Linked DNA regions of Neurospora crassa OR74A. The protein of the gene in region 1 purifies or fractionates together with the protein of each later gene. This does not show direct contact. Links are inferred from orthologs where the notes say so. Each region holds a gene or a part of one and is shown on either strand. Other genes may lie near its edges.

Region 1 (4,420 bases):
CTCGTGAAGACGTCGTTCTGAATCAAGAGAAAACTTTCTCTATGCAGTCATGAGCATGTAAGCGAGCCACTCCTACAGTGTGGCAGCTGCTTTTCGTGCCTTTTCCTCTTCACAGTCCTTCTCGCACCTCGCCATTGCTTCAGGACTTAGGTGCTTTTTCAGAACACTCTTGAACTCCTTCTCATCAACCACAGCACCATAGCCAGAGCACTTTGCTTTCTTCTGCAGATCGGAGCACAAGGCGTCCATATCAATCTCTTGGTTTTGTACACTGGAGCAACTGCGCAATTTGTCCCTGTTGAACATGTTAATAAAAGTCACATTTTCGAGGCCTCTCTCGGTTTGGTCATACCAGATCTTGCTGCAATCAAGTTGCTCTCTGACTCCATCATCCGATGCGTTGACCTCATCGATCTGAGCGATGAGATCCTTCTTCGGTGGTTGTGATTCTGCTTCGGGTTGTGGTGGCAGCAACCCTGGAGCTGTTGGTGGCAGATTATACGGTGCCAGGAAATCCGCATCGAATGCATCATTGGTCAACCAATCGTCAAATCCATTGTTGAGGACATTGTTCTGAGGCTCTCGGTAATCTCCGAAGAGCTGCGGATCAAACTGGAAATTGTCTTGAGGCAACCAGTTGAGAGTGTTGTCAACACCAAAAGTATTAAAGTCTAGAAAGTGTTGGTAAATTCTGGCCTATACAATCAGAGCGAACATTGAAGACTGGTGAATGCTTACCTGGCTGCCCTGAACCAATGACGCCTGGTTGCTCTTCTCCGATTGTGGCCATCGTATCTACTGACTTCAATCCGACGGGCGAATGAGTTAGAGGCTCTGGGGAGGTGCCACACGACGAACTAGCGCCACCCATGTTCGAAGCGCAAGAGGACGGGGAACTCGTTGACGTGCCGGCCCCCGCATTGTACTGAGAATCTGTTCCCCTGGTCGAAAAGTTCGCTCCCTCACCTCTTGCGGACTGAGGTGTGAAGAGATCGGCCGAGTAATGGGCCAAGTCTTCCTTGGTTTGTGTATCAAGGCCTATTTGGCCGTAATTGGGTGTAGTACCGGTGCTGACGCCATTCGTGGGTTGCTCCAGCCGACCTGTTGAAGACAAAGGGGGCGACACAGGGGTTCCCTTCTTGGTTTGATTTGCAGATTGTGGTCCAGGAAGAGGACCGCCAAACTTGGGGAATTCAAACTGGAAATTGACATCATTGAGGTTGCTGACAAAGGAGTTGCCGAACGGCATAGCCCGAGGTGATACCATCGGGGGTCGAGCTGTCATCAACGATAGACGCTTCTTGTACTCGTTCAGTTCGTTACTCATCTTCTCCATTTTCTTGCGAAGAATCTCGTTCTCATGGTTGGCAGTCTCGGAGATCTTCTTCAACTCTTCGACCTTGGTTTCAAGGTCCTTCAAGTGCTTTTCTTTGCGTTCTCTGAACGCTCGTTGAGCTGCTCGATTCTGGGCCTTGCGTTTCTGTTATTGTCACGTTAGTAGTCAATCCTTACTGAGACTCGAAAGGATCAATCGACCGAGGCAGGCTTACCGAGCTGGGCTCAGTGGTAAGAGGCTTCCTGCCGGGCTTTTTGGCAACTTTTCCCTCGCCCTCTCTCCTCTTTGGTTCGCTATTCTCCTCCTCGTCGTCATCCGGATGACTGCGCTTGTCGGGGGACTCCACATCGGCGGAGCCCGACTTGGAATCACTTGGAGCATTGGACCGATCGTCCGTCATGTGGGATTGATCACCAGTGTCGAAGTTGAAATCGAAGTTGGGGTCATGTTGTCCATCAAGGCCGTAGTCGTAACCGAAATTCGGGGTGTGCTGGAAACCCATAGGGTCGAGTCCTTGGGCAGACGTTCCGTTGTACATTGCGGATAGACCAGAGAGGTCGGCTTGTGTGTTGATGGGCTTGTTGGAATTGAGGGCGGCAAACAACAGGCTTTGTTGCTGCGGGGTGAGGACGAGATTGTGAAGAGGGTTCTGAGTCGACGTCATTTTCGGTTGTCTTGTATTGGAGATGGTGACTAAGAGGTAGAGCAGTCGGTTGAATCGAGGAAAGACCTTGGATGTTGAAAGGATGGGATGAATTCACTCTCGTGATCTGATCGCTCCTAGCGGTCGGAGCCGCACAGGCGGCAATTGTCGAGTATCAAGACCGCGGGTCCAATGGCAATGTGTTTTAGCGGAGGTCCGGGGTACCGGGCCCAAGATGTACGTATGTCCTGGTCGAAAACTGATGTCGGGGTAGATCAGATGCTAGTACGGGTGACGATAGAAAATCTCTTGCGGAGACGATGACGTTTCGACAGCACCGTAGACTGACTTTGGATCAGACGGGGACGAGCCAGCGGCCACGCAACTAGCAGCTTGAAAGGCAGAAAACTCGTTGAGCGTTGCGGGCTAGGACGGAATACCAAACCGGGCAGTTCCAGTTCCTGTCCAGTTCTCTCCCGCTTCTCTAGTTTTCGAGACTCAAGTCTTCTCCCAAGGAAGACGTTCGGTGTGAGGTGATGGGGTTTGCCGGGGGTCAAAACGAGAGGAAGGCAGTAGGATAACTTGAACTGAGACAGAAGAGAGGGGACTTGGTCCGAGTGGCAAGTTACAAAAGACGCGGATGTATTTGCACGGAATAGGTAGAGGTACCAGGGCGAAGTTGTGGCAGAAGGTGTAGAGAAGGGGGGAGAAAATTGCGAGTGCCCGAGATGTGAGCCGGAAAGGTTAACTGCCTGCTGGAACAGAACTAACCGTTGGCCGAGCCGAGTGGGTGGGATGGCGGCGGACGCTGACTTGAATTGATGGGCAAACCTATCGGCCTGACACCTGACTCACCTGGCACTCAGCCTTTCGGAATCCTGTCAGCAATTGGGTTCAGGAAATAAGGTACACGTATGATCCCGCGGGGGCTCCTTTTCTGCGATTGGAGAGGCGACGGCACAGGCTGCAGAGCAGGTTTGTGTTTCGTTGGTTCGCTGATACGATTCAGATCTGAGAAGGGAAGGACTCTTGGGCGGTCTTTGGCGATGGAGGGGACGAGACTAAGCGAGACCGTCCAAAAGCGGGCGAAAAGAGTGGACGCTCTTCTTTGGTTACAGGGCCAAACTCGTAGAATGCGGGCTACACGGGGCACAATTGGGCGCATGGACGCTTGGGGGTGTCCAAGTGGAGCGTGGAGGGGTTTCAGTCCAAAGTCAATTTGTCAGCGAAAATCAGTCGAAGGGAACGTCTGGATCGTTCCTGGACGGTCGGGTCGGGTGCGCCGTGACCGGCTCTGGCAACTGTCAGCACACCTTGACATGCCGACGACACCCCGAGTCGATTCGTTCAACAAAAGGACTGACAGTGAGTTCTATCAGATGCAGACAATCAATCAAAATCAGTCGGACCGTTTCCACAAAAGGTACCTCTATGTCGGTATCTTTTCCTATAAGGGATTTCTCTTGTTTCATTGCGTCCCACTACGTAGAGGATCACATTGACCGATTTGACGTGAGTGGGCTTCAAGCAAGAGCTGCCAGTGTCAATCTCTTGAACCGTACAAAAAAAGCCACTTTTTGTTTGACCTACACGTGTATGTACTACAGTATGTAGTTCTAGTCGGAGCCTCTCGAGTGCAGCCCGTCCACTTTTCATCGACGTGGAAATACATCAGTTTCCGCGGGTACCCCAAGTGGAGATTCTTGCAGGCAAAACACCGGAGTGGATAATAAGTGGCCTTTGTTCGACGGTGAAAGAGATGCACTCTCCTCTATCTCCGCATCAACTTGAGTTTTACAAACCTTAACCACAAATAGTGTACACTACACGTGTACTGTGTCCAAGCAAACAACAGCCAGGGGCATTTGTTTGAAAAATGGGCGCACTCGGTGTCGTGATTATCACCGTCGCAATTAGCTCGAGTCTGGCATGCTGGTTTGCCACTGAGACCTGAGTTCGAGACCCAGTCTCCCCATTGAAGATCCCACGTTGTTTCCGTCTTCCTGTCGGCAGTTCAGACGCCTCGTCGATAGGAAGCCCGCATGGCTTATCTCCGAGTGGCTACAAAATATACAATTCTCAGCTTACGGACAACTTGCCATCTGGTTTGGATTACCTGGCCAGCCTGGAGCCTGGACACAAAATCAGGCCATGTTGGACACACATGAGCTTGTCCCGTAGTCAGCTTCGGCTGCCACGGCGGGGAATCTCGAAGAACAATGTCACCGATTCATGTGGTTACCGTTTAAAAGTCGGGTGTCGAGTCTTGAATTGTCTTTTGTACCGATGGGAAAAGGCCCGTGCTGCCAGGAATGTCCTCCCGGCGGTGGTTGCTGCTCGCTGCAGTGCTTGCATCCATTTCCCCACAGTGGATGCGGCACCATGACACGGGCAAGACGGCAGCGCTACAGCTGCGGCGGGGATTCAAGGGAAGGGATCGA
Region 2 (4,518 bases), on another chromosome or scaffold:
TTGGAGGGCGGGGATGTTGAAAGAAAATTTGGATGAGGGTTCGTCTTCGGGAGGAGAGGTGAGGAGCGAGGTGCTGGCGGAGAGAAGGTGGGAGGGGGGAAGGAGGTGGGGGGAGGGCCAGCCGCGGAGGAGGTTGATTTGTTTCTTTTCGCCGGGTTGGGAGAGAGGGGTTGGGACGTCGGGGTCGGAGAGGGCGGGGGGTGTTGAGGGGGACATGTTGGCGGTGGTTGTTGTTAATGTTGTTGATGTGTTGATGTTAACTTGGAGTGATGAAGACGTTGGAATGTTGAGTTGTTGGTGAGATGAGTGGAACCTAGATAAGGTTGGTGGTGGTTTTGGGACCATAGCTTTGTTATTAACCTGGCAGCGAGTGAATCTCAAATGCCGTGGTGAAACCATTCAGTTTATCTCAGCCTAACCCATTTGTCCGTCGTGATCGCCGTCGTGAATGATGTCGTATTGCGGGGAATCTAGGTTGCGGGGCCGGCCGGCCGGAGGTGTGGGGCTGGACGGGGCTGACGGAACACAAGCAATGGATGAGGTGACGTCTGGAGGTCTCACTACCGAATGCGGCCCGGGAGATCTCCGACGACTAGCCGGTATAACCAGTCACAAGCTTCAAATCTGCGAAAGCGGTCTGTAAGATCGGGGAATACACCCACGTTTGATGACGTCCAAAGCAGCCATGCTCTCAATAGTAAAGTCGGGAATCTTGAGCTAAACTTTCGTCAAGATTTTGTGCTGTAGCAAACAGGCTTTTTCGCTGATCATGAGTAGAGATTATGACTAGGCTCTGCTTCTCTATCCTGGTAATTATATTCCTAATCACTCGTAAAGAAATGACAAACCATTCTGGTGCTTTTGGCCGTAATAGTGATACATATGGTGTTCCTTTTTCCCCCCCTCCTGTAAGCCATTTCCCCAAGTGCCCGTCCAAAACAAAAACCAACGCCATATCATACTAACCAACCCGCTTGCTACCCATGCAATCTTGTTCTCATGACTATTACAACGAGAATAACACAGACATCCCAGCAGTAAGAGCGCTCGCTCCCCAAATATTGAATGATCCACCAAGACGACATACCACCTATTGTATCCATGACCCAATAAATCAACGAAACCATTGTAAAAATCCAACAAAGGTCAAGTGCACTTTGCGGCCATGTTAATGACCATTCTGTTTGCATACACTACTGCAAGGTTTCCAGTATCTGATCGATTCAGGAATTGATCTTCTTTTGTTGGCGTAATGCTGATGGTTTCGTTTTCTTTTAATTGGGTCATGAATCCGTGTGGTGGTGTCACGAGTGTGTCGTCTTGGTGTATCATTCAATATTTGCTGAGCGAGAGCAACTACCACCCCCATGTCCGATTAAGCGCCGTGAACACCGGTGGCTTCCACTGGATCCTCTCGGGATCAATCAGCCTCTTTTGCTTCGCTTTGCTCTTCTCCCTCTGCTTGATCAGCTTCTCCGGTACCACAATCTTGTGCTCGCCCTTGTGGTACACCTGCATCTTGAGCGCCTGCAACGTATGTTCCACATCCTGTGTCGTCATGGCCAGGGCAACAGCAATGTTCTCAATCGTGCAAGCTTCCTTTCGCTCGTTGTACCCGAGCAAGATATCGATGATGTTCTCGGACCAATACTGTCTATATGACAGCAGACCCAGATCGGACAGGGGCTTCTCGGGCGAGCCGAGCTTGCCTTCGATTTTGGACAGTTCGTACGAGAATTGGATGAGCAGGCGACCGTATCCCTTGCGTTGGTACTGCGGAAGGGTCAAGATACAGGCGACGTTGTAGCCGTCCGTAGACTCTTTTTCTTTGGAGAAGTACCCGATGATGTGGCACCCCCGGTCGTCGCGGGTGGTCATGACGTAGAACAAAAACGGGTCGACATCGTAGTAAAGGGTTTTGTGGTCGAGAAACATCTTGGACAGCAAGCAGAGGTTGCGACACCAGGTGCGCTGACGTCGCCCGTCGATTTCGAAAAAGGAGACGTAGTCGTCCCGGTAGATTTCGTTTCCGGGCGGGTGGTGTAGAGTGCACTTTTGTCGGTGACGCACAAAGGATTTCAACTCGCCGTAGTACGAGAGACAGAACTCGCAGATGTAGATGCAGTCTTCTTGGTCAAAGATCTGCGGGTAGGGCGAGAAATACCACGGGAAGAGGACGTAGCGGCCGAATTCCACCTTGGAGATATTCCGAATGCGCGAGATCTCGGTAGGGTTCTGTGTCATGGAGCCGGATGTTCGCAACTTTTCAATCTCTTGTTCCCTGGAAAAAGACGGCTGGCGTTGTTTCTTAGCGGCTGGTATTTCGTCCTCATCCATATCGATCTCGTCGGCTTTCCTCTTGACTCCCTTGTCCCCACCAACCTCCAAACTGGCGTTGACGTCGGTTCCATCTTCCGTCTTCCCCCGTTGCCTGTTATTCTTCCCTGGCTGGCTTTCGACAAACTCGGTCCATGGGTGTGGTGTCTGCCCGTCCGATGCGACTGACTGCTCCCTCTTGCTGGCCTTTTTCTGGTTGTTCTTCTTGGACGGTTGCTTCTTGGATACCGTCGAGTTGTTTTTCTTGGTCTTGGCGTCCTTCTGCTTGTCCTTGTCCGGGTTGGGCCACTCGACGTCCTGCTCGAAATCGATTCTGGCGGCCGGCACCCATTCGTCGAGACGCTTGTTGAAGTTGTCAAAGTTGCAGTAGAATTGCCGGCCGGACTTGGTGTCTTTGATACTGAGGATCTCTGCTCGTCGTAATTGGCCTTCTTTCATCACCATGGCAATACATCCCATTCTGTTTGGTGGTGTTAGTATCTGGTTTTTCAACGACGATGGGGGGTGCCGTGGACAATGATGGGACGGAAACATACTTGATGGTGTCGGGCGTCGCCTTGCCCTTCTGTCGCTTCTCGTCGGAGCCGACAGTGGCATCGCCACCTGGGGGACTCATGATGGCGGCTATGTGTGATCCAACTGTATATGATTCGGTCGATAACTTGCGATGGTTTGCGACAAGATTTGATGGTTGTGGACGATGGGCGATTGAATGCGATCAATCTGACGGGCGACGCGCGACGTCAGTCTTGAAGTGTTTTGTAGTGTTCAGCGACTCTTTCAGTGGACGCTTCCCGAACGTTTTGGAGGGGTCCTTCAGTGGCGAGCCCACGTGTTTGGGCCGTCATTTCAGCGGGGATGCAATGGGACACAGCGGCAGATCCCTGCATGGCTTGCCTACCCTGTCAATCGTCCAGGAACCGATTTCCCCAGTTGAATTTTTAAGTGAACACCAAAGTGGGGCCCATATTCAACATCCACTTTCACGTTCATACAAAAAAGTTATCACCTTCTGGAAATCTTCCGTTTGTCTCAACCTTTTGTTTACTTTCTCTCATTCCAAATAAGAATTCAGCACCAATTGGACTCCACATAACCTCGGCCGCCAATTTGTGATTGGACATACCACAAGTGATCCCTCATCGGCAGTGACACCCTCACTTGTCTGTCTTGACTCAACACTCCATCACCACCACCACCATCAAAATCACCAAGGCAGGAGACCCTCCTGTCACCAACCATGGCCCCGGAACTCTCCTCCAACTGGAAGAAGTTGCAAGAAAAGCTCAAGGCCCCTCAACCAACCAAATCAGCTCCCATCAGCCAAGAAGCCGCTTTCAAGCAAGCCATTTCCAAAAAGTCCATTTCCTCCGAAACCCTCAAGCGCAAGGCCGAGGAGAGTCAACAACAGCAACAAGCCTCCAACCCTTCCAAGAAGCCAAAAAGACAAAAGTCCCAAACCCAGTCTCAACCCAGCAGCCAAAAACCAACAGAAGAAAAAATGGGCGGCAACGTCCAATCCAAGCCCACCACCTCCTCCTCCCCAAACAGCACCCTCCCCTCCCTCCACCTCTGGGCCGACGAACAAGGCATCTCCTCTGAATCCCTCGCCGAAGCGTACAACCTTGGCCTCCGCGGCACCTCTTCTTCCTCTTCTTCTTCACACATCCCTCTCCTCTCCACCCTCCCCCCCGCCATCCCCAACGCAGGCCTCACCCTCCCCGGCCATTCTTCTTCTTCCCCTAAAAGCAACAAAAATGGCCTCCCCTTACCAACCGACCTTCCCTCATCCCTCACCCTCTCCAACGGTCTCACACTCGACACTTCCACCACCACCGACCTCGCACTAATCCTGCAAGCAACCAAGTCCAACACGCTCGGCAAATACCTCTCCATCGACTGCGAAATGGTCGGCACCGGTCCCTCGGGCGCCACCAGTGTCCTCGCTCGATGCTCCATCGTCGACTTCCACGGACACCAAATTTACGACTCGTACGTTCGCCCCACTGCTTTCGTGACCGACTGGCGCACGCATGTATCAGGCATTTCCAAGCGCCACATGGCGTCCGCACGATCGTTCGAGTCCGTACAAGCAACTGTGGCTGCCCTTTTGAAAGGTCGGATATTGGTGGGTCATGATGTCAAGCATGATTTGGAGGTGTTGGGGTTTGAGCATCCGCA

What was found.
Region 2: the proteins of NCU03905 (region 1) and hat-4 purify together in Saccharomyces cerevisiae (affinity purification with mass spectrometry; 3 studies listed by BioGRID). This does not show direct contact. The link is inferred for Neurospora crassa OR74A from reciprocal best matches to the Saccharomyces cerevisiae genes YAP1 and ESA1.

Annotation. Positions count from the first base shown.
Region 1 is NC_026506.1:2,106,264-2,110,683, forward strand, and holds the start of NCU03905 (hypothetical protein), read right to left. Parts: upstream 3,075-4,420; 5' UTR 2,001-3,074; coding exon 1,551-2,000; intron 1,481-1,550; coding exon 739-1,480; intron 672-738; coding exon 353-671; intron 296-352; coding exon 73-295; 3' UTR 1-72. UniProt on the Saccharomyces cerevisiae protein: Transcription activator involved in oxidative stress response and redox homeostasis.
Region 2 is NC_026504.1:5,716,903-5,721,420, forward strand, and holds hat-4 (histone acetyltransferase esa-1), read right to left. Parts: upstream 3,097-4,518; 5' UTR 2,954-3,096; coding exon 2,874-2,953; intron 2,798-2,873; coding exon 1,357-2,797; 3' UTR 744-1,356; downstream 1-743. Other genes in the region: NCU11146 (aminotransferase), read right to left, coding at 1-399; NCU05217 (RNA exonuclease 4), read left to right, coding at 3,578-4,518. UniProt on the Saccharomyces cerevisiae protein: Catalytic component of the NuA4 histone acetyltransferase (HAT), a multiprotein complex involved in epigenetic transcriptional activation of selected genes principally by acetylation of nucleosomal histones H4, H3, H2B, H2A and H2A variant H2A.Z.